3 linked regions of the Astyanax mexicanus genome follow. The protein of the gene in region 2 interacts with the protein of the main gene of each other region in a pairwise test. Links are inferred from orthologs where the notes say so. Each region holds a gene or a part of one and is shown on either strand. Other genes may lie near its edges.

What was found.
Region 1: the proteins of sp4 (region 2) and nrf1 interact in binary tests that used the Homo sapiens proteins (3 or more experiments, as listed by UniProt). The two-hybrid records come from large-scale screens. The link is inferred for Astyanax mexicanus from reciprocal best matches to the Homo sapiens genes SP4 and NRF1.
Region 3: the proteins of sp4 (region 2) and pou2f1b interact in binary tests that used the Homo sapiens proteins (3 or more experiments, as listed by UniProt). The two-hybrid records come from large-scale screens. The link is inferred for Astyanax mexicanus from reciprocal best matches to the Homo sapiens genes SP4 and POU2F1.

Annotation. Positions count from the first base shown.
Region 1 is NC_064409.1:27,674,464-27,685,281, reverse strand, and holds the start of nrf1 (nuclear respiratory factor 1), read right to left. Parts: upstream 5,059-10,818; 5' UTR 4,745-5,058; coding exon 4,731-4,744; intron 1-4,730. UniProt on the Homo sapiens protein: Transcription factor that activates the expression of the EIF2S1 (EIF2-alpha) gene. Links the transcriptional modulation of key metabolic genes to cellular growth and development.
Region 2 is NC_064410.1:3,086,720-3,097,323, reverse strand, and holds the start of sp4 (transcription factor Sp4), read right to left. Parts: upstream 4,268-10,604; 5' UTR 4,037-4,267; coding exon 4,030-4,036; intron 2,809-4,029; coding exon 2,723-2,808; intron 1,036-2,722; coding exon 1-1,035. UniProt on the Homo sapiens protein: Binds to GT and GC boxes promoters elements. Probable transcriptional activator.
Region 3 is NC_064418.1:5,045,203-5,056,068, forward strand, and holds the start of pou2f1b (POU domain, class 2, transcription factor 1b), read right to left. Parts: upstream 5,510-10,866; 5' UTR 5,446-5,509; coding exon 5,400-5,445; intron 1-5,399. Other genes in the region: gpa33b (cell surface A33 antigen), read left to right, coding at 8,126-8,192, 9,287-9,456, 9,564-9,780. UniProt on the Homo sapiens protein: Transcription factor that binds to the octamer motif (5'-ATTTGCAT-3') and activates the promoters of the genes for some small nuclear RNAs (snRNA) and of genes such as those for histone H2B and immunoglobulins.

The sequences.
Region 1 (10,818 bases), on a different chromosome or scaffold from region 2:
GTTCTGGGATTTGATAACAGATGGACGGTGCTGTGCTGGTTAGATTAGTAGGTTCTGGTATTTGATAACAGATGGAAGATGCTGTGCTGGTTAGATTAGTTGGTTCTGGGATTTGATAACAGATGGACGGTGCTGTGCTGGTTAGATTAGTTGGTTCTGGGTTTGATAACAGATGGATGGTGCTGTGCTGGTTAGATTAGTAGGTTCTGGGTTTGATAACAGATGGACGATGCTTTGCTGGTTAAATTAGTAGGTACTGGAGTTTGATAACAGGTGGATGATGCTGTGCTGGTTGGATTAGTAGGTTCTGGCATTTGATAACAGAAGGACGGCACTGTGCTGGTTAGATTAGTAGGTTCTGGTATTTGATAACAGATGGAAGATGCTTTGATGGTCAGATTAGTAAATTCTGGGGTTTGATAACAGAAGGACGGCACTGTGCTGGTTAGATTAGTAGATACTGGGGTTTGATAACACATGGATGTTTCTGTGCTGGTTAGATTAGAAGGTTCTGGGGTTTGATAACAGATGGACGGTGCTGTGCTGGTTAGATAAGTCATTTCTGGGGTTTGGTAACAGATGGACGGTGCTGTGCTGGTTAGATAAGTAGTTTCTGGGGTTTGGTAAAAGATGTATGGTGCTGTGCTGGTTAGATAAGTAGTTGCTGGGGTTTGGTAACAGATGGACGGTGCTGTGCTGGTTAGATAAGTAGTTTCTGGGGTTTGATAACACATGGATGGCGCTGTGCGGGTTAGATTAGTAGGTTCTGGGGATTGATAACCGATAGATGGAGCTGTGATGGTTAGATTAGTAAATTCTAGGGTTTGATAACAGATGGACAATACTGTGCTGGTTAGATTGTTAGGTTCTGGGGTTTGATAACAGATGGATTACACTGTGCTGGTCAGATAAGTAGGTTCTGGGTTTTGATAATAAATTGATCGTGCTGTGTGGTTTGAAATGATGATTATGGTTAAAGTTAACTTCACTTACTACCCTCAAATCACCAGAATGCAGCCATAGGCTTAGAGCTAACAGCCTAACTTAGTAGCTTCTCACTAAAGGCATCAAAACTATAATTGAACGCATGTAGAGTTACGTACTTAACAAAAAAAGGTCAAATAAACTTAAACATATTCTAGTTTCTTTAAAATTCTTTGCTCTGATTACTGCTTTGCACACTCTTTGCATTTTCTCAATGAGATTCAAGACGTGGTCACCTGAAATGGTTTTTCAACAGTCTTGAAGGAGTTCCCAGAGGTGTTTAGCACTTGATGTGGAATCCATCCGTTCACCTTTTCTGCGTCTCACAAAGACATGACGGTTGGAAGCAAAGATCTCAAATTTGGACTCATCAGACCAAAGCACAGATTTCCACTGGTCTAATGTCCATTCCTTGTGTTTCTTGTGTTTTCTTAGTTTTGATGCCTTTGGTGAGAATCTACAATGTAAATTATTTAAATAAAGAAAACGCATTGAATAAGAAGGTGTTTCCAAACTTTTGGCCTGTATTGTATGTAAGATGACAGTATGTTACTCTGGTCAAGCCAAGGTGGCCAAGCAGAGCCAGTTTGTTTATGTTTATCATCTCTTACAGTAACTGAAATGTAGCACTGGCTCAAAGGGCACCATGGAAAGCCCTTATTCAGAGTTATTTTATATACATTATTTTTTCTTTTACATTAATTAATCAAAATTAACATGTTGACATTTTTTGTACTAAACATTTGCACAGGATAGATTTGTGGTAGCTGGTAACAGGACTATTTGTGTGCCTTCATATGCTATTGATGAGTTAGCTAAACTTTAACTTTAACTTTGGATTAGGACATACACTATATCTGCACAATCCCAGATTTAGAAGTATTTTTTTGGCAGAGGTAAAACAAGTATACTCCCTATAAAAACGTTAGAATACAAGACAGGTGATGGGCCATGTTTACATGTTTAAGCATCTAACAAAGTTTTCGTGGTAAGGGAAAACTAACCAAATATTAGGTGTGCTGTAGGTGTGATTCTAAAAACATCCAGAAAATGAAACTGAACACCAAATTCTTATTTTCTTGTCTATTAACAATACAAGTCACTCAAACTGCGCTAGAAATAGAACAGTTCACAGAACTCACTAAAGAAATCAAGTCCAATCTTGCCATCATATTTATGCACATAAAAAGTAGCTAAACTGCAGATCTGATAAGTAGTTTTAGCTGTGGTTTTTCATACTGCATATAGTTTTTAGATTTTAATGCTGTACACTGTTTCCTCTGTAGGGCTATCACAATATGCAAAAATTACAGTTCAGATTACAATGTGATTTGGACATGACAGTTAAGTACAAGAGTGGTACAACAAAAAGCAGCAAAATCATCTGATCAAATTATGATAAAATATCTAAATTCTGTTAATATTTGCATCTAATTTGTAAGCATTTTATGCAGGGCTGGAATATTTAATCATTACACAGCAACATATATTAATGTAAAAATGTCTAAGTGTAGTTCCTCTTTAGGACATATTTGATTAGCCTAGATTCTAATATAAAAACAGTGGCGTGCAGTTAATACAGTGGGTACCCCTTCTGCAACACCCCACCCAGTCTACACATAGATGAATATTACAATAACTACATATTCTGTCTTGACTTAGTAATATGAACTTAATACACAATAACAGCCCACAAAAACAGCTACAAAAGACAACAGTACCATATACAATAGACCACAACAATCAATGCTTAATTCTCCTACAAGAACAGCCGTTCAACAAAGATCACTCCTTTGTAAGGTTACAGTACGCCAGGGCAGCCAAAACATTAAGTATTTACAAAAACTCACCAGTCAGGTGGCCTATTATTGTGAATTAGTTTCCCATTGAAATGTAGCCTTTAAAATGCTTTTTAATTAGATATTACACAATATTTGTCATGATAGATGATCGATAACAGGATAGTTAACTATCAAACTAAGCATTTCACAACTGTTGTACAACTAACCAATGCATAGCCCCCTTATCAGAACGCTAAGGAGGGGTTAGACAGCCATGGCCCCACCCCTGTAGTGAAAATCATGAATCTGATTGGTTAGACTGTCCTGAATTGGTTGCTGTTTTTTTTATTTAGATCATTTATGAAATATATGCTTACAATTTACAATAACTATAATATATATTTCCTGATTAAATATTATGTATTACATTGTCACCACTTCTCTGAAGGGTTAAAAGTGCACACCACTAATAAAAATGACCTAGGCTTGTAGGAGATATACAGCTGCTTGAAAAAGTATTCATACCCCTTTGAACTTTTTTTCACATTTTTTCACCATACAGGCACAAATTTAAATGGATTTTATTGAGGTTTTAAATAAAAGACCAATACAAAGTAGCACATAATTGTGAATTGAAACAAAAAATATATGTAATTTTAAACATTTTAAGTCAAATAAAAATCTGAAAATTGTAACACAAAAGTATTTAGTTCCTCTATATCAATACTTATTACAGCAACCTTTCTCTGCAATTACAGCTGCAAGTTTTTGGGGTATGTCTCTACCAGCTTTGCACATCTACAGCTTGAAATGTCTGCCCCTTTTTCTTTGCAAAATAGCTCAGGTTGGATGGAGAGAGTCTGTGAACAGTCATTTTCATGTCTTGCCACAAACGCTTAATGGGGTTTAGGTCAGGACTAACAAGAATATTCTCTAATTTAAACCGGCACTTCTTATGTTTTTCTTTTATCAATTATTTTTTTCTTGCCACTTCTCCGTAAAGCCCAGATTTGTGAAGTACAAAACAAGAGGTATGAATACTTTAGCAAGCCACTTTACAGTATTTACAGCATCTGTTAATGACTTATGTTTATTACATGGAGCTTCCGTCTGTTCATTGCATTTACTTCGAGCAGAAACAGCAGCACTCTGAAGACTATTGTAGCCTGACAGTGATGAGGTTGATGAGAATATGTTGAAAACAAACCAAAGGCAAGCATCTGAGTGTAGACGACTGAAATGGCTGAATAATCTAATTTATATTTTAAAAGAATTTAAAATGTCACATTTGACTGATTATTAGTCTGCTATATGTAAGGTTTAATTAATCGTTTGGCTTTTCCTTAGATAAAAAATAAAATTACATGTTTGCCTACCTACAGTGCAAGTTGTTTTGTTTCATATGCAGTAATAATAAATAATTGGTCCACACACCCCTATAATAAAAATGTCTATTTACTTCAAACAGCCAGCTAGCCAACTAATGGGGTCTATAGGTTAACTTAATGCTAGCAACACTCAAACATTACAATCAACAATACTATAAAATGTAACCTAATCATTTAATTTGGTTGCACGACTGTCAGGTCTCATTCCTGAAGCGAGCATGGAGCTACTAACTACTAACAGGGCCAGTTAACTAGTAACGTAATGTATGGGGTAATAGCAGGCTGTGACAGTTAGCTAACTAGCATTCAGAAGCCACACGTTAGCGAACCATATGTACATTTTTGTGTTCTTATTAAAAGGCAAACAATTTTCGAAAGTAGATTAGATTAAAACGGACTAAACGAGATCTAAATATGTCGGTGAATTTTTGTAAGCTCTTCTTTTGGCTTGCTTGTTAACATGCTAGCTAGGATAGCTAACTGTGCCCTGTAGTAAGTTAACAGACAATGCTAGCTAAGCTAGCTGGCTAGCTAACTACGCAAAGTACAAAGAGAAAAGGCAATAAAACATTGTTACATTAAGCTTCCCATCCTGCAGTCTTTAGTAAATTCCAGGGTCAGTGTAGCTAGCTGTCCCACAAACGGGTCACCAGTCTCTCTGGCGTTATTGCTGAAGCGGGCAGCTACAGCCCACAGCCAGCTAATGCTGTTAGCTCCGAGTTATTTCTAACCCGCCATCACAAGACCAACACAGCTCTAACCAGTGGCCTAGGCCGGCAAATGCGACATAGGTTTTATTTGTAGGAGCGCAGTGTTAATACTGCTGCTCCCAGAAACAGCTCAAAAACTCCAAAATGTCCCGTTCTATTCCGCATCAACACACGCTCATCCGCCTTTTCTCAGCCCTCCGCTGCCGGGGTGTTGTTGCGGCTGCGCCGGGGCTAATATAGCTGGCGATTGCGCGGTAGGGTACTAACCTCAGAGCGGCTGCGCTACTTCGGGCCTGCGCCGTACAGCAGAGAATCAGAGTCGTAATGGAGGACAAAGAACAGAAAGCGCACCCGATTCTGTAGCAGACAGCTCAGTGGTCCACATACTGCAGGCTAAACCCCGCCTACTCTTAATCCCAGTGACACCCCCATCCCATATATATAAATATAAATAAATAAATAAATATATATATATATATATATATATATATATATATATATATATATATATATATATATATATATATATATATAAAAATTAAGAAGACATTGCTACTTAAAACCTTACTTAAAAGTATGGAGCGCCTAAAGGGCAGGTTAATTGTTGTTTTCATGTGATCTCAGATTTTATGTTTCATTATTACAGCAAGTACTGTGTACGAGCAAGGTGGAGTATGTATCAGGGTGTGTGAGTAGTGTGTGATGGGGCTGCTCCTAGCACGCTTGAAGGTCACCTGCCCTGATGACACTAAAATATTTTTGATAATTGAAAACAGGTTGTTTCAGATTATCAAACAAGTGTAAACATTAATCAAAAACAACACAAGTAAACACAAAATGCAGTTTTTAAAATGAAGGTCTTTCATTATTAAGGGAGAACCTTCGTGGCCCTGTGTAAGAACTCTTTGCCTCCCCCTAAAACACAACTTAACTGTGGTTTAACCACATCTGAGTTTAATTTCTCTAGCCACACCCAGGCCTGATTACTTTCACACATGTTCTCAATCAAGAAATCACTTAAATAAGACCTGACAGTACAGTAGACCAAAAGATACCCAAAAGCTAGACATCCTGTCAATATCCCAATAAAAATGACAAAGAAATAAAAAAGTAATTGAGATCTATCAGTATGGAAAAGGGTATATAGCAAGTTCTGGAACTTCATTAGCCACAAATGGCAAAATGTAGAACAGCGGTGAACCTTCCTAGAAGTGTCCAGCTGACCAAAATTACACTAAGAGTGCAGTGATGACTCATTTGAGAGGTTACAACAGACCCCACAACAACATCCAAAGAACAGCAGGCCTGCATGGCAGAGTGGCAAGACGAAAAACCTCTGCTGAGCAAAAAGAACATTCAACATGCTCCTCTCAATTTTGCCAGAGAACATGATGATCCTTAAGACTTTTGGGAGTACTCTGGACAGACGAGACAGTTGAACTTTTTGAAGGTGTGTGTCTATTACATCTTTCATAAAAGTAACAGCATATAGAAAAAGGACATCATACCTACTGTAAAATATGGTGGTTGTAGTGTGACTGCTTTGCTGCTTTAGGACCTGGAAGACTTGCTGTGATAAATGGAACCATAAATCTACCAAAAAGTCTTGAAGGAGAATGTCCAGCCATCTGTTTGTGACCTCAAGCCGAAACAAACTTGGGTTCTACAGCAGGACAATGATCCCAAACTCACCAAGTCCACTTGGTTAACTAAAAAGTGGCCTAGTCAAAGTCCTGACCTGAATCCTTTTGAGATGCTGTGGCATGACTTTGAAAAGACTGTTTATGCTCGAAAACCCTTCAATGTGTGGAATTACGACAATTCTGTAAAGAAAAGTGGGACAAAATTCCTCCACAGCTCTGTGGAGTTACCGCAAATGCTTGATTGCAGTTGATTGATTGTTGCTAAAGGTGGCCCAACCAATAATTAGGTTTAGGGGCAAATACTTTTTCACAGAGAGCCATGTAGTTTTTCCCCCCATAATAATAAAAATTTTTTTATTTAAAAACTGTGTTATGTTTACTTGTGTTGGCTTTTAACTAACATTTTTATTAAGTTTAATGATATAAACCTGATATAACATGCAAAAAGATGAATCACTATACCTAGTTGTTACCACATTTTAAGTAACATTTTGTTACTCTGTTTCATTTGTTACTCTGTAACATTTTGATCTCTGTTTCAGATCTGCTGTGGTTCAATAATGACCTATGGCAGAAGCACAAGGTCCAGACCATTCTCACTTTAATTAAAAACAGGTGCTGAATGATAAAACAGAATGGTTTTACAGAATTAATTATTAAAAAAAGGCACATAAAAGTGCAGTGTGTCACTTTTTAATTTTCTTGTTAACTAAATGTTAAATCAATTTAGAATCAAAATCTCACACCTTAACAGTTTAATAGCTTTAAAGGAGAAATCCAGTGTGAAATTGAGTAGGTAGAGTTAAGTATAGAGGTTTGTATACATGTCAAGAGGAATTTTGGTCCACTCCTCTTTGTAGATCATCCCTAAATCATTAAGATTTTGAGGCTGTCACTTGGCAACTTTTCCTTGAGATCACAAACAAGTTGCCCCTGTAGTTTTAGGCTGATCTTTTACCTGATACTCAATGAGGTGAGATTTTGCACGGAGCCCCTGATCAATGTCGATTGACAGTCATTTTGTATTCTTCCATTTTCTTACTATTGCACCAACAGTTGTCTTCTTCTCACCCGGCGCCTTATGTATGGTTTTGTAGCCCATTCTAGCCTTGTGCAGGTCAATGATCTTGTCCCTGACATCCTTAGAGATCTCTTTGGTCTTGTCCATGTTGAAGAGGTTATAGAGTCATTAAATCTATGAACAGGAGTCTTTTATACAGGTGACCATTTAGGACAGCTGTCTTTAATGCTGGTAACTTTAATGAAAGTAATGAGTTAAAAGCGTCTGGTTAACTGGTCTGTAGGAGCCAGAACTCTTTAATAGTTGGTAGGGGATCAAATACCTATTTCTTTTTAATAAAATGTGATTTTCTAGATTTTATTTTTAATATTCTATCTCTCACTGGAAAAATTAACCTACCCTTAAAATTATAGACTGTTAATGTCTTTGTCAGTGGCAAAATTATATATATATATATATATATATATATATATATATATATATATATATATATATATATATATATATACATACACATATATATACACATATATATACACATATATATATGTATATATATATTTATATATATACATATATATATAAATATATATAAAGGCAACACCATAACAACGCAATTAGTAAGACAACTTCTATAAAAGGAGTGTTTCTACAGGTGGAGATCACAGACCTTTTCTCTGTTCTCTTCTTTTCTGTTTTGGTCAATTTTGCATTTTGTCAGTTCTCTCACCATAGAGGTAGCATGAGGCAGTGTCTACAACCCACAGAAGTTACTCAGGTAGTGCAGCTCATTCAGGATGGCACATCAATGCGAGCTGTGGCAAGAAGGTTTGCTGTGTCTGTCAGCACAGTGTCCAGAGTATGGAGCAGATACCAGGAGACAGGCCGGTACACCAGGAGACATGGAGGGGGCCGTAGGAGGGCAACAACACAGCAGCAGGACCGCTACCGCTAAGAGGAGCAGTGCAGAGTCCTGCAAAATGACCTACAGCAGGCCACCAATATCCATGTTTCTGTTCAAACTGTTACAAACAGACTCCATGAGGGTGATATGAGGGCCCAACTTCCACAAGTGGGGCTTGTGCTCATAGCCCAACACCGTGCAGGGCGTTTGGCATTTGCCAGAGAAAACAAAGCTTGGCAGATTCATCATTCGTCTTCATGGATGAGAGCAGCTTCACACTGAGCACATGTGACAGACGTGACAGAGTCTGGAGATGCTGTGGAGAATGTTCTGCTGCTGCAACATCCTCCAGCATGACCGGTTTGGCAGTGGGTGAGTAATGATGTAGAAGGCATTTCTTTGGAGGGCTGAACAGACCTCCATGTGCTCGCCAGAGGTACCGTGACTGCCATCAATTGGTCATTAAATGTGTTCTGATATTTAAGACACAACAATAGACAATAGACAAACATAGTAGACAAACACAGTCTGCTTAAACTAATACCACACAAAAATAATATGTTTGCATGGTTTTATTGAACACATTAAAATTCACAGTGAGGGGGAAAAAGTACCCCCTAGACTAATAACTTTCCTAAGAGCTAATTGGAGCCAGGATGTGATGAGATTGGCTGTGTTGGTTAAAGCTGCCCTGCCCTATAAACACACATGTTCTTAAGAAGCATTGCTTGATGTGAATCATGCCTTGCACAATAGAGCTCTCAGAGGACTTGCATTCAATAATTGTTGACTTGCATGAAGCTGGAAAGGGTTACAAAAGTATCTCTAAAAGCCTTGATGTTTGTGTCCACGGTAAGAGAGACGGTCTACAAATGGAGAAAGTTCAGCACTGTTGCTACTCTCCCTAGGTGTGGTCATCATGTAAAGATGACTGCAAGAGCACAGCACAGAATCATCAATGAGGTGAGAGAGAATCTGAGAGGGTCAGCTGAAGACTAATGCTAACATTTTTGTTGACAAATCTACAATAAGGAAAACATTGAACAAGAATGAAGTTCATGGGAGGACACCACTGAGGAAGTTGTCTAAACTGTTGAACTGCTGTCCAAAAAAACACTGCTGCACATTTGAAGTTTGAAAAAAGCACCTGGATGTTCCACAGCAGTACTGGCTAAATAAACTGTGGACAGATGAAACCAAAATTGAGTGGTTTGGAAGGAACACACAATGCTATGTGTGGAGAAAAAGGTCACAACGCACAATCATCAAACCCATGGTTTGGGACTGCTTTGCTGCCTCAGGGTCTGGACGAATTGCAGTCAGTCATCAAAAAAATTAATTCCCAAGTTAACCAAGACATTTTGCAGGAAAACATTAGACCATCTGTCCATCAACTGAAGCTCAACAGAGGATAGATTATGCAACAGGACAGTGACCAAAAACATAGAAGTAAATCAACAACCGAACGGCTTCAACTGAATAAAATACGCCTTCTGGAGAGTCCTGACCTCAACACAATTGAGATGCTGTGGAATGACATCAAGAGAGCGATTCACACCAGATATAACAAGAATATTGCTGAACTGAAACAGTTTTTTGAAGAGAAATGGTTAAAAAATCCTCCTGACTGCTGTTCAGGTCTGATCTGCAACTACAGGAAATGTTTGGTTGAGGTTTTTCTGCCAAAGGAGGATCAACCAGTTATTAAATCCAAAGCTTCACATACTTTTTTACCCTGCACTGTGAATGTTAACATGCTGTATTCAATAAAACCATGCAAACATATCCTCCCAAAAAATATAAGTTTAAGCAGACTGTGTATGTCTATTGTATTGTATATTGTGACACATTTAATGACCAATTTATGCAGAAATCCAAGTAATCCCAAAGTGTTCCCATTCTTCCTGCAACTGTACGATGTGTTATTTTAGTGCTCCCTTTATTTTTTTGAGCAGTGTATATACATACAGTAAAGGAAATAATTATTGATCCCTTGACAAACCATCATTTTTTTTTATTTTACATCAATGTTAAAGACAATTAAGAGAGACACGTATGGAATTACGTAGTAAACAAATTATATGATCTAAACCCAACTGAGATGGGTGATTTAGGATGAGCTGGAGTGCATTGTTGAAACAAGCCATTATCCTGCGAAGAAAAAACTACTATTGTTCAGTACCTCCAGGAGCTTCTTTAAGAAACTGAGCAAACTATTCTAGGTGACTCTACCTCATGAAGACACTAAGATTAAAATACCAAGAGTGTGCAGATCGGTCCTCAAAGCTTAATGTGCTACTTAGAATAATCTAAAAGTATAAAACATATTCTGCTTCTTTGAAAGCTATGCAGGTACACATGTGGAATTTTGTAAACAAAAAATATAA
Region 2 (10,604 bases):
GGGCTGAAGCCCATTAGACTGGGTTGTGCCTTGGCCGTCTGAGCTCTGGCCATCTTTCTGACACTCCACGCCTGATTCCAAGGCGGCGGTGGCCGCGGCATCAGCGGTGGTTGTGACGATGGACTCTACGACGCCAGACGTAGTTGTGCAGGTGGCGACGACTGCGGTTTCTGCTCCACTGACTGCGCTTGAGACAGGGGTAGCAATCAACTGGTTGCCATTAGCAATGCTGCCATCGCTTGTCTGGACCAGCTGGACAGATCCTCCACCCGCAGCCACATTGTTGATGACGGGCAGAGCTAGCGTGACGCCGCCTATGTTTATGGGTAACGTCGTCACCATTGGTGCTTGTGCGCCCTGGATCGTCTGCACCTGGAGCGGAAATGATGGGCGGATCTGCAGCGGAATGGCCTGACTGTTCACATTCTGGGCCACGATGCTGGCAGAGGTCGCCCTCTGTGGAGCGGCGAGGATGGCTTGGTTGTTCCCAGCAGAAATGAGCTGGATCTGCTCAGGCTGGACGCTTAAGGCTGTGGGGTTGCTGGGGTTTATCTGGATCTGCTGACCGTCAGCAGTCTGGATGTGTGGGATCACCTGATACTGGATCCCTCCGGTCGAATTGGGCATGTTCTGCACCTGGATGATCTGAAACTGCTGTTGCTGCTGCTGCTGTTGCTGCTGCCCCACACTGGCATTGTTGGCGCCAATCGTTTTGACCTTCCGGCCCTGCGTGCCGTCCACAGCCACCACGTTTGCTGTGGTCGCTACAGTGGCCACACTGGTCGTCTGCATGTTGTCCTTGGCCATAGTGGTGGTGGTGGCAGCAGCGGGTGAGGCTGCGATGATCTGCCAGCCATTTCCTGTGAACTGGGCCGGCAGAAGCTCCAGCTGCTGAGGGGGGTTCTGGAGCTGCACCAAACCCTGGCTGGGGTCTATGATGATCTGCTGCTGTGCTCCGTGCTGACCCTCCCCGCCTACACCTCCGATTTTACTACATGTGGCTGCAAGCAGAGCGAGGGGCGACGGCTGTGCGTCCTGTTCACATACACATACACACAAACACATCACACATTCACACACAGAGGAAAAAAAAACGCTGTTAGTTTCAGCAGATGTAGGCGGGATTACAGGAAGAGTGGGTGGGTGGTTGTGAACTACAATTTCTTCATTTCCCGATGAGGGGCATGAGCAACACGAAATTTGCGCCAAAACTGGGTCACAGCAATACTGAATGAAGAGAAATGACTGACTAACTGACAGACACACGCTCTCAAAATGACATATAAATACATAGTAAAAAGGCATCCTAGTATTAAAAAGCATGCTTACCAACAGTTACCAACAACTACCGCACTAAGTAATGTGTTAAAATTAAGCATCACCATTAGAACTGCAGTTATTAGTAAGAAATGTAGTAAGAAAAGTGCAGAATTGCACGTTTTAGGTAGTAGGCATTCTACAACAAGGAACATTCAGCTAAAATCTTGCCCTCTGGCATCTTAAGTGTGGGAGTATTTTGGACAGAACCAATAGTGTGTTGCGCTATAAGCTCTGTTGTAGATGTGTAGAAGTGTAGCCAGCACAGTAGCATAACAGCATCTAAATGTTACTATGTGGACCATGATGCTTGTGCTACAATTTTTTGGTGCATAGATGTTATCTGTTGAAAGCCATTTTTGCAACATTGCATCATACAATATTGTTCTGTTTATAATATTGATCATGCATGAGTGAGACAATAATGCTTAAACTGACATCACAGCCTGTTACTACAGCCTGTAAATAGCTTTAATTATTTTCCTTCCACTACTTTGAGGCAAATGCATTGATACACTTGCCAGTGAATACTTTAAATACACATTACCCCAGTGATAAAAAAAAAACATCGAAATTATAACCAGTTTGAATGTTAAGTCTAGTATTTAAATAAAATATTATCACTCTATTTTAGGTAAAGTGTTGCTATGCTATGCTATTTTTTTTTTAAGTATAAACCCTGGAATGTATGCTAGCATGTATTCATTACAGCTGTGAAACTGCACATAGGCCTCTCACAAAAAATACATAATCGATTTATTGCCTAATATATGGACCATTATGTTTAATTAGCAAGGATGAGATGCCATGCTAAAAATGATCAAAAATTATAAGTGTTTTATGTATTTATTTATTTTTATTTAAAATATCTGCTTAGAAATGTCAGGAGTCTATTTCAATGTATAATCATTTTAATTAATAACTAAAAGTTTACTATGTTTGAAAGGGATGTATATGAATTAGTATGCTAGTATATCATTATTAAGCTAATTAACGCTATATCATTTGTATAAAATGTTTTCAAAATGACAATAATATATATTTCCTGCAATTATATGTGGGATAAAATAACATTAAAGCTATAAAATAGGTATTGTGACAGGCCTACACAAAACAAAAATAAAATGCCCTCTGGAAAAAATATATAACTAATATTTTAATCATATTATAAATCAACAAGTTAAAAATAATTAATAAAATAAATAAAATGCCATTATGAATTATAAAATAAGCTAGCTAACCTACTGCTGTTGCTACTGAAGCTAAAGCTAAAGCTAAAACTAGTGAGCAAAGCGGCTAACGTCAGTTAGCAGCCAGCTAACGTTACCCAGCACTGAATCAGGAAGTGTGTGCGGGGACAGAAAATGAGTGGCTGCGCAAAGTTTAACGCAAAGTTAAGAACAACCTGTGATCCGGGGGTCTTCCCTTTGGTGGTCCTTTCACCTCCACCCGATTTCCCCCCGTCCGTGGCCATGGCTTCCTTCTTCTGATCTGCGAAAACCAAATCATGTCTGGGTCAAAACAGCGCGGAGGCTAGTGACAGCTACAGCGGGCCGACCGAGCAGAGCAGCCCGGGCAAGGAAGCTCTAAAGGCGGGCAGAGAAACCTTCAGACTGACAGGCAGACAGGCTTCAGTCCAACAGGTCATTAGTGGGCAGTAGTGGGCAGGGAAATGAGCTGAACTGACAGACAGAAACACGGAGAGAAACATAAAGCTAGAGAGATAGACAGTCCTGAAAGAAAGAGAGAGAGAGGGAGGGCTGGTCGTTCTTTTCACATATGGATAGATAGATAAATTAGATAGTAAAACGTGAGCACATAAACACAACTAGTTAGCTAGTCGATCCTGAAACAGTTAACTGTTAGCCAACCTAAATAGATAAGATAGTCAGCATAAAAACACAGATAATTATATAATTCTAAAAATATAATTATATAACCTAAGTAACTAGCTATGTCTATAAGATAGATAGATAGATAGATAGATAGATATATAGATAGATAGATAGATAGATAGATAGATAGATAGATAGATAGATAGATAGATAGATAGAAAAACGTGGGCACAAGAACACAAAAAAGGACATATAACGCCGGCTAGCTAGCGTTCTATAACTAAGACAGCCCTGATGACTGGCTGGTCGTCATTTGTTTTTACAGATAGATAAGATATATGGTAAAACGTGAGCACAGAAAGGCAGCTAGCTAGCTCGAAATAGACAGTCCTGGATCAGAGATATTGGCTACATAGATAGTAAAACGTGAGCACAGAAACACGGAAAGGGGCATATATGATAGCTAGTTAGCTATAACCAAGATAGTAATACATGAGATATATAATCAGACATATAATAAACGTGTGCACAGGAGGAACACAGAGATGGGCATATATAACGTTAGGTTATAATAGGTAACTGTTAGTTAGCTAGTTAGATGACTGGCTGCCTGCTCGTCATTTTACCCCCCTGATTGTTTGATAGATAGATGGCTAATTAGATATACACTGCACAAGCAAAACACTAGCCATGAAAGACAGCAGCCAAGTTCATTCTTACAAAGCCATTTTCTGTCAACCAAACAAACAGGGGAGGGAAGGTCCGTGCATGTGTGTGTATGTGTATATATGTATGTGTGTTTGAGTGTGTGTGGAAAGAGGGAGAGGGGGAGAGACAGAGGGGTGGAGACGACAGCTCGGGGAGGGAGGGTACGTACCACTCATCCCGCATTAATAAAACCGGAGAGGAGTTGTTAAAGAGGGAGAAAAAAAAGAAGGCCGGACGCCGCGGAGGCAGAGGCAGAAGCAGAAGGCAGGCAGAAGCCCGGAGAAGGACGGCCTATTTTTTTTTCCTCCCCACGAATGGCTGCTGGGTGGTGTGGCGTAGCTCCACCGACCGACCGCACTGAGCACTAAACGGCGCGCAGTGACGAGCAGACCCAGCCCCGCCAGGAAGGAAGGGCGGTACCGAAACACGGCAGCCCGTGGGAAAATAAAGCAGAAGCGTGTACCTTTGGAAAGCGGGCGTCTGTCTCTTCTTCAGCCTGCGAATTTTCTCTTTTTCTGCCTTCCCTCTCCCTCTTTTTCCTCTTGTCCTCCGACGAAACGCGTCCAAATCCAAGTTATTGTAGCAGCTAGCTAGTTAACTAACGCTCCAGCCTCGCGTTTAAGGCCCACCCACTTGTATTTAAATATCGAGTGAACGCAGGAAAAAATACGCCCCGCTCTTTTTTCCTATGTGAGTCTTATTTTAGCCAAGCTTTAACGTTAATAATCCCCGTCCTCCCGGTGCGTCTCGCCGCTCGCCGGATCCGCTGCGTTCACTCTGCGATATTGCAAAAATAAAAAACCTCCATCACACTTTTTTTTTCATGCACAATTGCATTAGCTGGAGCTACAGTTAGATATATATAAAAAACCCTCTGCTATGGCTTTTTTGTGGGCGGACGCTCTCCGCCCACATATTCAGATTGGACAGGAACAGTTCGAGGCTGAACTGGCTGATGGGAGTTGTAGTTTAAAGATGCATTGGCTTTAAGCCGCTCGAGTCGTTCAAAGCTAAAGCGCGGAACTACAACCCCCACGAGGCGTAGCGCGCGTGCGTGTAGAAAAAAGGGAAAAAAGCGAGGGGGTGTTGTTAGGTTCGGTTGAAGGGGATGAAGAAGGGCGGTTACTTGTGCGATGTGGGGGTTGGGCAAATGGAAGAAACGGGAGGAGAAAAGATGACCTGTTCCCCCGTGTCACTCACAGCTACCGCGCTCTTATTAGGCGTGAACCGCACGGCACGAGCCCGTGCAACGCTGCACAGCGTGCCAGTATGATCACTGAACGCTTTTAAGAGATTTAAGGTCGAGTGTAGTTAGCTCGCTAGTTGATTTATTAGCTGAATGTGCTGTGGAGTTAATAACTAAGCTAGCGTAGCTTCTCCCTCATCCTCTTAACTCTGTGTGGCATTTGGGTGCTACAGGTGTGCACAAAGTAGCTTCATAGACCTTACAGGTGGATTGAACAAATGTAGTGTTAGCAATTGTGCAGATTTTGTTGTGGGCACCTAATGTATTTTTCACACTATAAAGCCCTATCTGGATGGATTCGTTTCTCTCAGTGAGGGGTAATTTTCTTTTTTATGGGGGGTCCTCTGTGATTTTATTCCCATCCGGAACGACCATGTACTTGTTTTTCTCAGATGTCTTTTGAAAGGAAAATTACAGGCTAAATTATCTACTGTTTTTAGCTGAACTCCGTGGTCCTCAGGTAATTTTAGTTTCGTCTGGACGCACATCTCTGAATTTTGTCTCCTCGCGTTTAATAAAATAGCTATTTGTCCACTGTCCCGCACCGTAATTACACTTTGGGCCTGCATTTCCATGTAGATCCACTTAAACACAACAGCAAGTGGAAATGGAGGAGCTACTAAACAAGATTGTAAGGAGCAGTAAAGCCACTCCGCTGTTTTATTTAGGTCTCCAGCCCTGAGGCTGGAGCAGTGTTAACGTTAGCCGCTATTCACGCTAAACGCTCGCTCTTTCGATGTTCAGGGGTGAGTATTATCGGACTGTAGCCTGTTTTTTACCCCGGCTAGCATTACTGGAGCAGCATTAGCCACAGCCTCTAATTGCAGTATGTGCTAGCATCCTTTGCCGCTCACATGTAAGTATATCAAACTGTAGGCTCCACGTTTACCATGTTAAAACAAGCTATATTGGAACAACCGCTAGCTAATATCACCCTGGCCAGATACTACATTTTCCTGGTAATGGAAAAACAAATAAACAAGTAAAGTTAAATCAAGTAGTGTAGGCACCACACATAAAATAGCAGCTGTAGACACTGAGGTCAGAGGGGCCTGACATGCTATATTAGATGCTATTATGCTAGCTGCTTAATTGTACAATGTAATATGCTGGTCTGGGATCATTTATGTTTCTTTTTGGAGCTTCTTAAACACTGCCTGGACAAAAAAATTAACTAAGTAAATGATGTGGGGTTGGTTGATGCTGCAGTTGGTCTGAAGGTTTAGGTATAGCAACAGTATGTGCTGAAAGAATGAGGTCAGCTGACTACCTGAATATACTGAATATAGACCAGGTTATTCCATCAATGGATTTTTTCTTCATATTCCAAGATGACAATGTCAGGATTGATGGTGCTGGAATTGTGAAAGAGTTCAGGGTTCAGGGAGCATGAGATCATCATTTTCACACATGGATTGAGAGAGTTCACCAGAGTCCAGACCTTAACCTCATTGAGAATCTATAGGATGTGGTGGGGAAGGCTTTGTGCAGCAGTCAGACCATAATTAATAGAAGATCTTGGTGAAAAAAATAATGCACACTAAATTGAAATACATCTTGTGACTTTGCGAAAAACTTAATGAAACAATGCTACAGCGAATATATTTTTCAAAATAAAAGTTGAAATAAAACAAATCATTTAATACAGTTTCAAAAGAGTCTGTTTCAGCTTGTAGAGTTGCACGTGTCTGCAGTGTTAGAAGACACTGAAACTCAGCAGCCCCACCACAAGACATGTTTCTACTCGTGTGCGGGGAGGGAGAGTAGTAGTAAACACATCATCGGAGGGATGTGGTTGGTTAACACTGTTACTTGATGCAAGGTCTGCAGAGCTGGTCCAGACTGGGGCAGAACAGTTGCCCTTGAAACTCCAATACTACTCTACCTCTACCTCATTATTTTGGCTTAAGAATAAAGAGACTTATGAAGAAAAGTATACTAATACAAAGTTTCATTTTGTGTTCACTGTTGTGATGTGTAAAGAAAGCACAAAATAAGCCAGTGTTAGGCCCAAACTCAATTTCTAATTTGCCCCATTATCCCTTTTTTTCCCTCAAATAGGTCTCAAATAATGCTTTTCACTGTATACCAACTTTAACTCTTCACAACAAAACTGATGGTATACACTGAAAAGCCCTATTTAAGCAATGTTCTACTCCAAAAAAAAAACTTTAAGAAAGGAAGGTCAGTCAATCCGAAATACTGCAAGAACTTTAAAAGTGTCCTCAAGTGCAGTGGCAAAGACCATCTAAAATGTTAAAATGGAGAGGTCCAGAGGTTCGAATCCTGATCATGCAGCTTGCCCTCAGCTGCTGAAGTCCCGAGAGAGCACAATTGGCCTTGCTCTCTCTGGGTGGGTAGATGGTTCTCTTTCCTCTCATTAGTTGTCCCATCAATTGTCCCATCAGCTGAATGGATGTGACAATAGGCCTTCCTAAATTGGGAGACAATGGGAAAAAAAAAAAAGATAAAAAAAAATTATAATGAAACTGGCTCTCATCAGGACTGCTTAGGAAAGGACTAAAAGTTTCCTCTGATGCATAGGATAAGTTTATCAGTGGTATTACACCAAATAAGAGCATCTAAATGCAAAGTATTTGGTTTGTTTAACACATTTTCCTTAAGTTTGCTTCTTAAAGTTTATTCTTTATGTGTTCCTCTATAGTCTGGATGGCTTTAGTATTCATTTACAATGTAGGAAAATTAACACACACACAAAAAAACACTTAAAATGAGCAGGTGTGTCCAAATTTGGCACTGTATGAGAGGTACTGTACATCAACACAGGAATTTAAATATAACATGGACAAATAATCATGTTATATCCTTTCCAAGCATGATAATAACCCAGATTATATTGATGACTACATGGGTACATATTGGCTAATGGCTTCTACACCTGGAACCCATTACTTTCTTACCAACCAATATATTAGTAACATGTCTGATGATGATTTTAAAATAATCTTAAATTGGAAATAAAAAAATACCCATAAATCAGATTAAAATACTACTGGTCTGTGGATATTCTGGTTGGGCCTTTTATGAGAAGGTTACCACCTGACAGGTATTATGTCCTAATGTGATTGGCCCTGATGAAAAGATGAAAAAGTTTTTATACTGGGTACCTGATATCAGATCTAGATCAGGTTTTAATAACAGACACATTAGTACAATATGATGTGAATATCATGTCAGGAGCATTAAGCACAAAGAGTTCTACTTCTCCTGATGACAGACTGAACCCCCTGGTGGTTCTAAAAATCATTGCATTTAAAAACTGAGTAAAAAAAAGTAAGTATGAATAGATATGTTTGTAAAATGCTGACCTTAAACCAAATTATTTTCATGTTGGGACAGTAAAAAAAGCAAAAATTGTCATTGTGTAAAGTATAAACACATGTAAGCTCATTATACACTGCCTGGCCAAAAAAAAGTCTCCACCTGGATTTAAGTAAAGTAAGTAAATGATGTGGGGTTGGTTGGTTGATGCTGCAGTTGGTCTGCAGGTTTAGGTTCAGCAACAGAATGTGCTTAAAGAATGAGGTCAGCTGACTACCTGAATATACTGAATATATTAATCGTAGCAAATTGTTTTAAAACTAATGTCTCATTTCATTTTTACTACTTAATCATAAAAAATATATATATAATAATGTTAAATAATGTCTTATTCAGTGTCAGTTATTAAAAACTTAACAGTAATCTATTTAATAGTATTTCTTACTGTGATAATTACTCTTAATCGTGACTTTTATTGTAAAGTGTTACTCAAATTTATGTATTTTCACATGAAGTGATTTAAAATAATCAAAAAATATTTTTAGAAAGTAATTTAAAATGAACACTGTAGATTGGCAAAATTAAGAAAACTGAACATTATACTGATTTTAATCAACTCAAAAATATTTAAAATTCTTGTGGCAGTTTTACTGTATACAGCTGCGGAAAATAATAAGAGAGCACTTGATGAGTTTCTTTGATTTTACCAAATTAAAGACCTCTGGAATATAATCAAGAGGAAGATGGATGATCACAAACCATCAAACCACCAAACTGAACTGCTTGAATATTTGCAGAAGGAGTGAGTAGCATAAAGTTATCCAAAAGCAGTGTGTAGGACTGGTGGAGGAGAACATTATGCCAAGATGCATGAAAAAAACTGTGACTAAAAAAACAGAAAACAGGGCTATTCCAACAAATATTGATTTCTGAACTCTTAAAACTGTATGAATATGAACTTGTTTTCTTTGCATTATTTGAGGTCTGAAAGCTCTGCATTTGTTTCTCATTTTTTGCAAATAAATAAATGCTCTAAATAACAATATTTTTATTTGGAATTTGGGAGAAATGTTGTCTGTAGTTTATAGAATAAAACAATAATGTTCATTTTACTCAAACATAAACCTATAAATAGCAAAATCAGACAAACTGATTCAGAAACTGAAGTGCTCTCTAATTTTTTTATCATTAATAATACATTTTTTACATTTAAAATATAGCAGTATGCAGCTTATCAATATATATTTTTTTAAATGTACTTCCTATCACACAGTTCCTACTCAATTCCAAACATCTTCATTTCTTGTCCACAAGGGTGCAGTATATGATCTGAAAACACCCCATAGTATCATCCATCACACAGGGGCTCTATCAGCAGTTAAACTCTCACAATAATGCTCTTTAAACACAGCCTTTAGAGCAGAAACCGCAGGGCTTACACACACACACAGGCTGAGGAAACTCTGTACTGGGTTTTAAATTAGATATTTTTATTTTTATTTAGGTTAAAAAAGAGCAAAAGACCAGGGAAACTGGAAATAGGCGTAAGAAGTGAGTCCCTCTTAGCCCATTTCACCACAAACTAAATTTAAAAAGCTTGTCAAGAAACCGTAACTCACATCCAAACGCTGCCCTGAGGCCAAAATGCTTTTTGACCTGCCAGAAAACACATAAATTGTTGTGAAGTTGAAGTGCCTCCTCTGTTTATTGCAGCTTTGTAGTAGCTCTAGTCCAGACAGCACGTCTCTGACCCAGAAACAGCAAGACAACACAACAATTAAACAGCAATGTGGGAAAAAAAAACATTTATATATTATTATATTACTTATATAATACTTCACAATAATTAAAAAAAAACAGTAACTTACAATAAATTAACAGTACTTTCAATAGAATGCTTCATTACTAAGCCTAATTATTATGTTCACTAGTTGAGACATTATTAATCATAGCAAATTGCTTTAAAACTAATGTCTCATTTCATTATTATTTACTACATGGGCAATATTTAATATTTAATCATTACAATTTAGTTATAATTAATAATGTCTTATCTAGTGTCAATTAGTAAATACTTAACACTTTACTGTTAATTGTGACCCTTATTGCAAAGTATTACTCAGATTTCTGCATTTCCACAAAAAATATCAGATCTTTTCTTATTTCTTTCATTTTATTTTTTTTATTAGTTTTAACAATTAAAAACAACAGCATGG
Region 3 (10,866 bases), on a different chromosome or scaffold from region 2:
TGGACTACACAGCATGTTGAAGAGGTTTTTACAATTGAAAGGAAAATATAGTCTAAGCTATAACTAAGCTTAATCTCTTTCTGGAAACCAATCCTAAAATAAAGAGGCCAGAAAGAAAAAACATATTTTTTTTTTTTAATTAGCAGCACCATACAGATGTTTTAGACTTGACCGATAATTGTGTGCATGATGTAGGAATTGAACTCTATAAGAGGAAGTGGTTTTAGTTCTTAGATGCATCTTTGAGAATCGGATGTGTTTTTACTGAAATAACATGGTTCAAATGTGTCTCAGGCTTCTGAAATGCTTCTGCATTTGACTACCAAGTGTAAATGTATGTGGCCAAACTATCAGCAGAATCTATACATATGGAATGACTAGGTGTAAAGAGGGCTTTCTCCTAATAAAGCACTTAAAACGTACAGAACAGAGCTTGGCACCTGGTGGAGAGACCTTTACTGGATCTTCATTCCATTGGAGGTCAGTAGGACAGTGCTAAACCTCTATGGGTCTATTTTCCAGGCACGGATGAAGCCTAGGCCCAGACTAAGAGATTTTTTTTCTATTGAAATAAAAATAAAAAAATTAGCCTATTACTAAGCTCAATCAATTCCCACGAAAATGACTCTATAAGTTTGCTGTTGTTGACAGGCTTGTTACCTGTGATCTGTTACACTTGGCCATTTTTTTTTTAGAAGACTTCCAGGTAATTAAGCCAAACTGACATTTAAGAGGAACACTAAACGTGGTTTGGCCTTTACATAGTGTCTCCCAGCCAATCACACAACAAGATCAGAACTAACTGCAACAAAATAAATCCTATATTCATCTGGAATGCGAATTTCGGTAGATATAGTCCCATATTCTACCAAAAAAATTACCCAATATTGATGCACCCCTAAAAATAACCAGTTGCCCCATTAAACACTGGACCAATGATCCAGTGATTACATAACAAATTGGTATTGATGGGTCTGATTTCAAACAAAAATGCCAGATCAGATGGAAAAAAAAGAAATAAATATAAATCCAAGTCTGGAACAAATCTATTTGTTCAAATCTGAAACAGTGTGTGAAGCGAAGTGTGATATGAGAATATAATAGTGCATGAGAGAGCTATATTGGCAGATTACTAACAAATCAATATTTATAGTGGAAAATAAAGCATCATCATGTCATCTTAATTCATAATTAAACAAGCTCTCTGTATGTACTGTCTGCGGTGCCCTCTAATCTAGTCTTACTGTGAACAGAGCATCAATAGAAATAGAAAACACTTTATTAACTCATTTTAAACCACAATTATTGTGGGGAATGTGACAGTATTTTGTTAGCATGATGCAGAATATACTTTGTGAGTACATAATGGGTTTTGTCAATGAATAAAGAAGCATGAAGCATGCTTCATTACAGTGAATGTGAGATTTGTCCAATTTAATTGTTTGTAATGCCGCACAATGTAAATAAAAATCACTGAATGGTACTAAGTATGGCCACTAAAGCATGTTTGTTGTGTCAAAACATGAACTAATGTACTAAAATACTGTAATACAATACAGTACCACAGTTTCTAAAACTACACACAGCTATGCTGCTATTTCTCACTGATAAAAGCTAGATTTGCTGCTGTGTTCCTGGGTATTGGTTTCATTCATCCCTCAGTCTATTAATTTTGGGAGGCTTTTGTTTGAGTCTTTCAGATCATTCAGTAATGGGGCTGCCACTTGTTTTCAGCTCTTACAGGCAGCTTTGAAACACTCCCTCCCCAGTTACATGCAACAAAAACATGACTGAAATCCACCTCAGTTGTTCATGCACAGCAATAAGTTATTAACGCAACACACAGACGTGTTTCAGCTTGCCACAGCTTCTCACAGGCCGGGCTCGATACAAACATAAAAGAACATCTTTCTGAGCAGAGCAGGTCTACGCGTTACCTTCGGGACAGCGGCTCTCTTTTTTTTTTCCTGGCACGTCCCATTAGACTTTCTAATGAGGCCCTAGGCTAATGGGCCTAAGCCTATGCATTCTTTAATCGCAAACCAACACCTCCCCCATGCAGCTACAGGAGAGCAACAGACACACTTTAAAAACATGAGAAAAGAGAAAAGAAAGAGAAAGAGGCAAAAGTCAGTGAACTGTTACAATAAATCAGCCAAATGTCCATGCTAGGCTACAACACCAAGGATATTAAAATGATGGCGAGATGTGAAATGTGGGGCAAAAAAAGAGAAGACAGCAAAATGTAAAAAAAAAATAATAATAAATAAATAATAAAAGAAAGAAAAACCCTCAGATGATACTCAAATACAATAAGCATTTATAAGTATAAAGAGGCTTGTAAAATGTAAAACAGCGATGAATTAATTCATGTTAATGTATTTTGTTTGGGTTTTTGAATAAAATTGTAATCTATGTTATGGAAGTAAAACACATACAGCAAACGTTTTACAAACTTGGCTACAAGACTTGAATGTGCTTGTAAAGCTAAATTTGGCTTAGTTAGCTCACTTAACAGTCCATCTTAAATGCATTTGTGTATTAGTTTAATTTTGGTGCCTGAAAATGTAGAATTTAAGGAAAAAAGGATAGGATATAGGGAGTCAAAAAAGGCCTGTATATTGCTGTATCAGCAAGAAACAAGCGTGAAACTGAAGCGAGTGGACTGCTTGCCTCTTGTCCAGGCTGCTCAGGCCTAAGTTAATGAAATTCATTCAGCCGCTAGCTGGCCTGCTACATATGCAGCAGCAGCAACAGCTGCCCGGCTACAATAGGGCAATAGAGCCCAGCTCACTGGCAGCATAACCTACTCCAGATATTGGCTAAAACGCCTGCAGAAAACTCAATGAACTGTTTAGTCAGCTGTATACATACCCATGAAATGGGCTAAGCTAGCTACAACCTATTTAGCCCACCTTTTAATTTGGCTCTACTAGCTTGGCCTGGTGTAAACAATGTAGTGTTACAATTGTTTTTAAAAGGTGAATATCCACCAACACAAAGAGAGACAAGAGAGGCTAGCCAATGTAGTTAGCTGTTATTCTAGCTGTTTAGGCATAGATAGATAAATAGCTAATCTGGGAGTGTGTCATTGTGGGATTTAGCTAGTTATTCAGTGTGAATATTCTGAACAGTATCTGCTCTGTAGTCTTTATCTGCTCTAACTACATGTTATCTGCAGGTATGGGGGAAAGAAATTAAAGAATTTGGACTTTTTAACACAGAGAAAATTAAGACCACTTTAACAAACCCAGCATTAGTATGCCTCACATTAGTTTACAACCTTTATAATAATATTTCCCTGCATCATCTGATAAACCAATGTCTAAAAAAATAGGTTAACTAGTTAATTCAGTGCTGCACAAACAAAAATGGGTCTTGTAGCCAGATAAGCTTACCAGTGCACAAGAACATATTATGCAGCAAATAATACTGCAGAATATTTAGTGCATGCATATAAACTGCAAACTAAAACAAATATACAATAATACACCTAACGCTTCACAGTAAATAATAGACTACTTTTAAGACAGAACAGCCCTATTATCACGATATGGATTTTTCATATGTTATTTCTGTGTCACGATATATTGCATACGATATAATATTGCCCACCCCTTATCTGCAGGTATGGGGGAATAAAATCAAAGACGAAATTAAGACCACTTTCACAACCCCAAAATTACTAGACATTCGTTTCAGCCTTTATAATAAGTCTTTCCTGCATTTATTGATGACCAATATATTAAATATTAGTTTGTTAATTAACTAGTTGGCTAGGTTCACACTGCTGCACAAACAAAAATGGGACTGGAAGTTCATATAACCTAGGTAATACAATTAAACAAGGTTCGGTGCAAAACTGGGGCTTTGTAACCAGTTTTCATTACATTTAGGCTTAATAACCCTTAATATAAAAAGATAGTTCAGTTATTAGCTACTAACTAACTAAATAAGTAAGATAACTTAGCTAACTTGCATATCAAATAGAAAAACTGCGAAATATAACTAGACAAAATGAATCCTAAGTAGTGTTTACTGTCGATGAAATTGTAAGGCCTTTGAAAGACAGGTTTACGATAAATGCAGGCCTTTTTCTTTAAGCTAAATTAATTTAAGTGTCTGCACATCTGTTGTCTTTAACGTAACAGCCAACAACAACAGGCCCACATGAATAGCTAGTTAGCTAAGCTAGGTTAGCTAACACACACATATAGCTATATACACACAACGGGGCCACACGCCTGCTTCTCCTGCTGCAGTGGGACACAAAGGCAGAAGACAAAATATGGACATAAAATCAGCCTTAGAAGCTCCCCTGTCCTTCAGCCCGCACCGAGCAGCCCTCCGCCGCTCGGCAGATCACATTTACGGTTGTAAACACTGCGCGCAGACGCCGAGCGATTGCGAGGAAATGAATATGCAAAGCTTTTATCAGCCATAGGCTCCCAGCACACAATACACAAACACACAAAGCCGCCGTATTAGCATTAGCATTAGCCTTAGCGTTAGCGTAGCGCCGGTGTCCTGCCAAGTTGTGCTATTCATCGAAATGTGCTTCTCAACACCAGTGCGCATGCGTGGAACCACTTTTTTATTTTTATTTGTATGTTTTTAATAGCAATTCTGTTCTAACTGGGTGTGTTAAACAACCAGACGCACCTGCCAGTATTAGTATAGAGTATTACAACTGTGTAAATGAGGATAATAATAAAAAGTTGATAATAATAAAAAGAATAATAATAAAAAACTATTAAATATAACATTAAATACAAAAATACGTTACTGGTTATGCATATCACCCCTATTAACTTAACGTTAACTTTAAACTGTGTCCTTATATGCTGATTCAAGCTTTCCAAGCGAGGCATTTTTTTGGGGGGTCTTTTTCTTGCATTTTTACGTTTAAATATAATTACACTAGAGTAGCATGGTTTGCCAGGGTAGCACAACTCGACAGAACACCGGCCGCCCGGCTCCCTCTCTCTCCCTCTCTCTGTGCCCCGACACCGGGGGGATAATACCCCACAACCGCGGGCTCGGACTGGGACCGGAGTAAATAACAATAATAATACTAACCCGCTGTGATGCCGCTGATTACTAATAAAATATGCTAAACCGCGTTCTCCCGGCCGCAATATGAATATGTAAGTCGCGCAGCTCCGCTCTAATCACACAAAGAGGGGGATTTTCGCCTTTAATTCTCCGTCGCCCAGCATCGCCACTTTCCCCCTCACACCGCCGACAGCTCCCCAGCACCGAGCGGCCGACAGACAGCCCGACCCCGCCGCCGCCGCGGCCCCGGGGGCTCTGTTCACGCGCTCCCCTCTCGCTTAACGGGCTTGAGAGAAAGAGCGTTTGAATATGAATATGAATATGTAAAATGCAGTAATGATTACCTGCTCCTGAACTCTCATCTTGACTCGCTGCTCCTCCGTCCGCCATTTTGAATATTTAAACTCAGATCCCAGCCCAACAGCAGCAGCAACAGCAGCGCCCCATTCAACACACACACACACACACACACACACACAGAGTGGCAGTGAACTTCACACTCTCTCACACACCTCTGAATGCTGAATGAACCTCCACACACACACACACACTCATACACACCAGGATACTCATCACTCCATAAAAGAAGTTTACTGAATGCAATGTAAATGTGCGGTTCATGCTGCAGTTGTTCTGCAGGTTTAGGTTCAACAACAGTATGTGCTGAAAGAATGAGAATGAAAGCTGACTACCTGAATATATTGAATATTATAGACCAGCTTATTCCATCAATGGATTTCATCTTCATTGATAACACGGCCATATTCTGAGATGACAATGCTAGGATTCATGGGGCTGGATTTGTGAAAGAGTTCAGGGTTCAGGGAGCATGAGATCATAATTTTCTTTACACATGGATTGAGAGAGTTCACCACAGAGTCCAGACCTTAACCTCATTGAGAATCTTTGGGATGTGCTGGATGGAGAAGAGCTGCTTTGTGCAGCGGTCAGACTCTACCATCATCAATACTGCAAGATCTTGGTGAAAAATTAATGCAGCGACACTGGATTTCAATAAATCTTGTGATGTTGCAGAATCTTATTAAAACAATGAATGTGTTCTTATTCTGCAACCAAAGCCAAAGGCGGTCCAATTAAATATTAGTTTTTGGTGGCGACTTTTTTATTTTTTGGCCAGGCAGTGTATTTTGCAGTCCAGCAATCCTGTAAAAAGACAATGTGGAAAGTTTTCTGTTTTTGGTCTTCAATAGTGTAACCTGACCTTTACCATTCCTGTAAAATGCCATTCTTTAGGCAACTGATGAGTTCACAACAGTTCAACTCCACCCAATGGCCAAAACATACTAGTGCATCTCAAAATATTTGAATATCATTGAAACTGATATATTATATAGATGTATTACACACAGAGTGTTAAATTCTTTTAAGTGTTTATTTCTTTTATTGTTGATGATTATGGCTTACAGCCAATGAAAACCCAAAAATCAGTGTCTCAGAAAATTTAAATATTATATAAGACCAATTGGTACTTTTGGCAGTGTGGGCAGTATGCTAAGTCCTGCTGGAAAATGAAATCTACATCTCTGCATCATAAAAGTTGTCGGCAGAGGGAAGTATAAAGTGCTGTAAGAGGGAAAACAAAACTGCACTGACTATGGACTTGATAGAACACAGTGGATCAACACCAGCATATGACATGTCTCTCCAAACCATCACTGATTGGTGGAAACTTCACACTAGATCTCAAGCAGCTTGGACTGTGTGTCTCCACTCTTCCTCCAGACTCTGCTCCCTTGATTTACAAATGAAATGTAAAAATTAACTGATGGTCAGTAATGCTTTGAAGAGTCCACTGTCCCTATGACTTTTGTTTTGACCCTTTTTTTTAACCACATTTATTCTTGCTGTTTAATCAATTGCACATGTAATTTTAAAATCCAAGTGGTTTGAGTTTATCCAAAAAAGGTTGGATTAATTGCTCAGTTTACCAATTTTACTTATTTCCATAGTTTACTCATTACTTTAGACTTAGCTCAGACTTCTAAATAATAATAATTGATACCAATGATATAGTGCCATCTGCTGGATAGAACAGCTTATGCATCGTTCAGAACACCAACCTCAATATGCCCCACCTGATCCAACTCATTCATCTCTTCAGAAGGGCTTGTTTGGCTTGATGAGGAGTGTTAGACTGAAATTGGAGGTAAAAACTGCTGAAAAATACAATGTATCTCAATGAGGCAGCCTGAATACTGTTATATAGGGGATATGGGGGAATAAACAGATTACAGACAACCGAACAAGCATTACCCAGTGTATATTAATTAGTATACACTGCTCATTACTATTCCACATGCCAAACATTAGCCTACACAGTACTGGAAAATATTTAACTTGGCAGAAGTGAGTGTAGAAAAGTGACTTTACAGCATATATAAGCATATTTATGTTTTTTTTGTCTTTACAGTATGCACTGTCTTTAGTAAGAAATAAAGACCTTAAAGAAAGGCAATTTAAAATAATAGGTGTAGCTTTGAATATCTAGATGAATGTGTATGACTTAGTAAGAAACTAAAAAAATAAAGTATACTAAAATATATATATAGTAAATGCAACCTTTGCAGCAAGTTACACATAAAACACAGTTTCTTTTTTCTCATGACAATTATTATTAATTTATTATATACAGTAATACAATGACCAAATTAAAGTCTGTGCCAAAGCTTGGGCACCTTACAAATGTAATTACAGCCTGCAGATACTTATTGTTGCTAAAATGATTTGCTTTTCTGGGATTTGTTAAATGTTTGAAGACAATGGAATCCATCATTGAGGGCAAACCTGGCTCTATGTACATGAGCACAACTCTTATACTCTTGCTATATTTCATTCTTATGCTCAGAAAGTAGACAACAACTTCAGTACTGTGGTTTTTATAGTAATTCAAAGGGACGCTCACTGAAAGTCCAAAGGGTGAACAGGTGTGGCTGGTGAGGGTGTGCAGATGGAGCCGTTTTATTTGTCACACCTATTGACCCAGCAGTCATAAGGAAGTGTGCAGACACCAAACCGTCAAGTATTTATTCTGTTACAGGACTGAAATAAAATGACCAGAGAGAGCAGAATGGACAAGCGGAAACTGAGAATCTGTGGGATTGGGGTGCTGTTTTCAGGTAATATTAGAATACATTATTTTTTTGTATCATTAATGAATATGGTATTGAATGTAATTTTTTTTAAACAACAAAATTCTTGGTTTTGTTGTTCAAATGTGACAGCAGTATTTCAGTAATTATGTTTTCATTAAAATATATTAGTCAGTATTACATCAATGAAAATATATTTTCTTTCAGTTATTTTTGACCATTTTTAACCACTTTCACTTTACACAATGTTAAGGACAAGCAGCATTTCCTTATGTGTAAATAATATGTAAAAATAACCGAAAATATACAGAATATGTTATGGAAGTGGAAATATATGTATTTGAGAAAAAAAGACAGAGAGAGGAAAGTTTTAAAAAGCACATAGATCAACCAAAAAAATAATCATGTTCATTCATTTTGAATATCGGGTGGGTCAAAAGGTAAAGAGCGGAAGTACTAGGGCAAAATAGGCCAAACGACTTTTTTAAAAACAAATTTTGCTTTGATTTTAATACATTTTAATATGAATATCAACTAAAAATTTGCTACAAAAAGTTCTGTATTATTTCTAATTGGGGTTGTTTAAGGATTCTTTAACAAATACATTTGAATGTTATTTAAGGCTATACTGTTAGCAAGCATGGCCTTATATAGCTCTATCTTGTAACAATATGGAACACTTTTTTGGAAAACACCAAAAATTGTTTTGCAAGTGTTACAATTTATAGAACATTTTTTCTAACAATGTAGTAAAATGTCAAAGTTCCATAAAACACACCTGAATAAATAAATGGAAAGCCATTATAAAGCTGTATTTAGGAAATAATTTTTTAGCTATGTGTTAAAGGTGCATGTAATGACTATTGGATTTCCATTTAGAGTGGTGGATACTGGCTGGTGTTATAGATGTTATCTGGAGAAGGAATTGTCAAAAACGAATAGGAAAAACTAGAATGCATTCTGTCTTATCTGTCCATTGTTTGTAGATCTGTTGTTCTTTGGCCTTCATTTAAGAGAAATGAAATGTATTGTGTTGTGTGGCATTGCCTGCTCTGTGTTTTTACAAAAAATAAGTTATAAAACACCTGCCATGTGGTTTCTTTTGGTTTCTTTCTCCGTAGTGATTTCTACTTCTTTTGGGTTGGAAGTTAATATTCCACAATCCACATATAAAGTTGCTCGAGGTGACCAAGTTGCCATCACATGCACTTTTCAGCCCAAAAACCCAGTGAATAATCTCATTATCATCTCATGGACTGCTGACCCTGATGGCTCATTTGATGATGAAGGGGTAAGTGTGAAAAAAAAACATTTGGATGAGTTTTCCTAGAAAACAGATGACTATAGAAAGGTTCTTTGCAAATAACAAAACTGCATCTCTTCTCCCTTTCAATATAGCTTAATTTTGGGACGTTCTACTCCAATGACAACCATGTCGACATTGATCCAATGTATGAGGGCAAAATCCAGATTGACAGCAATGTGAACACTCGAGTCTCTACACTGACACTGAAGCAAGCGACCCTGAGAGAAAACAGGCGAATCAAATGCCGAGTTAATATTCCTGGAGATACTGTGGGCCAAACTACAGCCACTACTTCCCTTGTGGTTCTGGGTGAGAATAAATTAATCATAATTAAAGTAATTTCAGTTTAAAATGTGATATGTGTTCCAATGCCTAGGGTGCAGCTGAGTTGGTCTGCAGTGTTTCTGTGATACACAATGGAACTCAGTTTTAAAGTGTAGAGCCCTTACATACAGCAAAGTGCAGTGAAATGAAGTGATTTGAAGGGCACAACTGATGCATCATGACGTATCTGACCCTTGAATACCCATAAAAGAAAAAACAAGAAAAATAGCAGCACTGAAATTGGGTAAAAGTGGCCGAAAGCGAAGACTTCATTACAACTTTATAAATTATTTATAATGTATTTATGTGAAGAAATTAGTTTTGTGCCGTAAGTAATCACATGATATATGCATTGGACATCACCACAAAGCCTCATTAAGGCCTAGAAAGTCAGATTGGATTTACATAAGGAAAATAAATATATATATATATATATATATATATCAGATGCACATAATAAAATAATTTTAATTAGAAGAAATATATATTAATGCCGAACACTTAAATGTTTTATTTGTTATAAAACATTCTAACAGTTTTACTATTAATTTAATGCAAATTATAGTTTAGTGAATTATTATTTATTCAGCCAACATGACTTTTAATACTCATTTAAAGCCGAACTAAACTAACATGTATTAATATTTATTTAATCAAAATTATAGTCTTAACATAATTCACAATCTAACAATTATCATCTTCACAAGTGATAAATGAGTTATTCTGAATTAGTTAATGAGTGGTTCATAAGCATTTTGACAACATAAAGGCAAACACAAAGGCAATTTGCAAACACAATATTCTTAAACATTAAGTCAAAATCTTTCTTAAAAATAAATTGACCAATAGAAATGCTCCAAATTGACCTGAAATAAACTATTTTTACATTCACTTTAATTTAAAGTTAAGTAGATTTTATCTCACTCCTGTAAAGTAGCTGTTTTGGAGATACCTATCTATCAATGCTTCCAGCACACCTGACCCAACAATGTAATTCATTAACAAGTCCTTATTTCTTACTGAGGTAAAGTGGGCGTGTCAAAGCAGAGGAAACTGGTGCAGTGTGCAGGA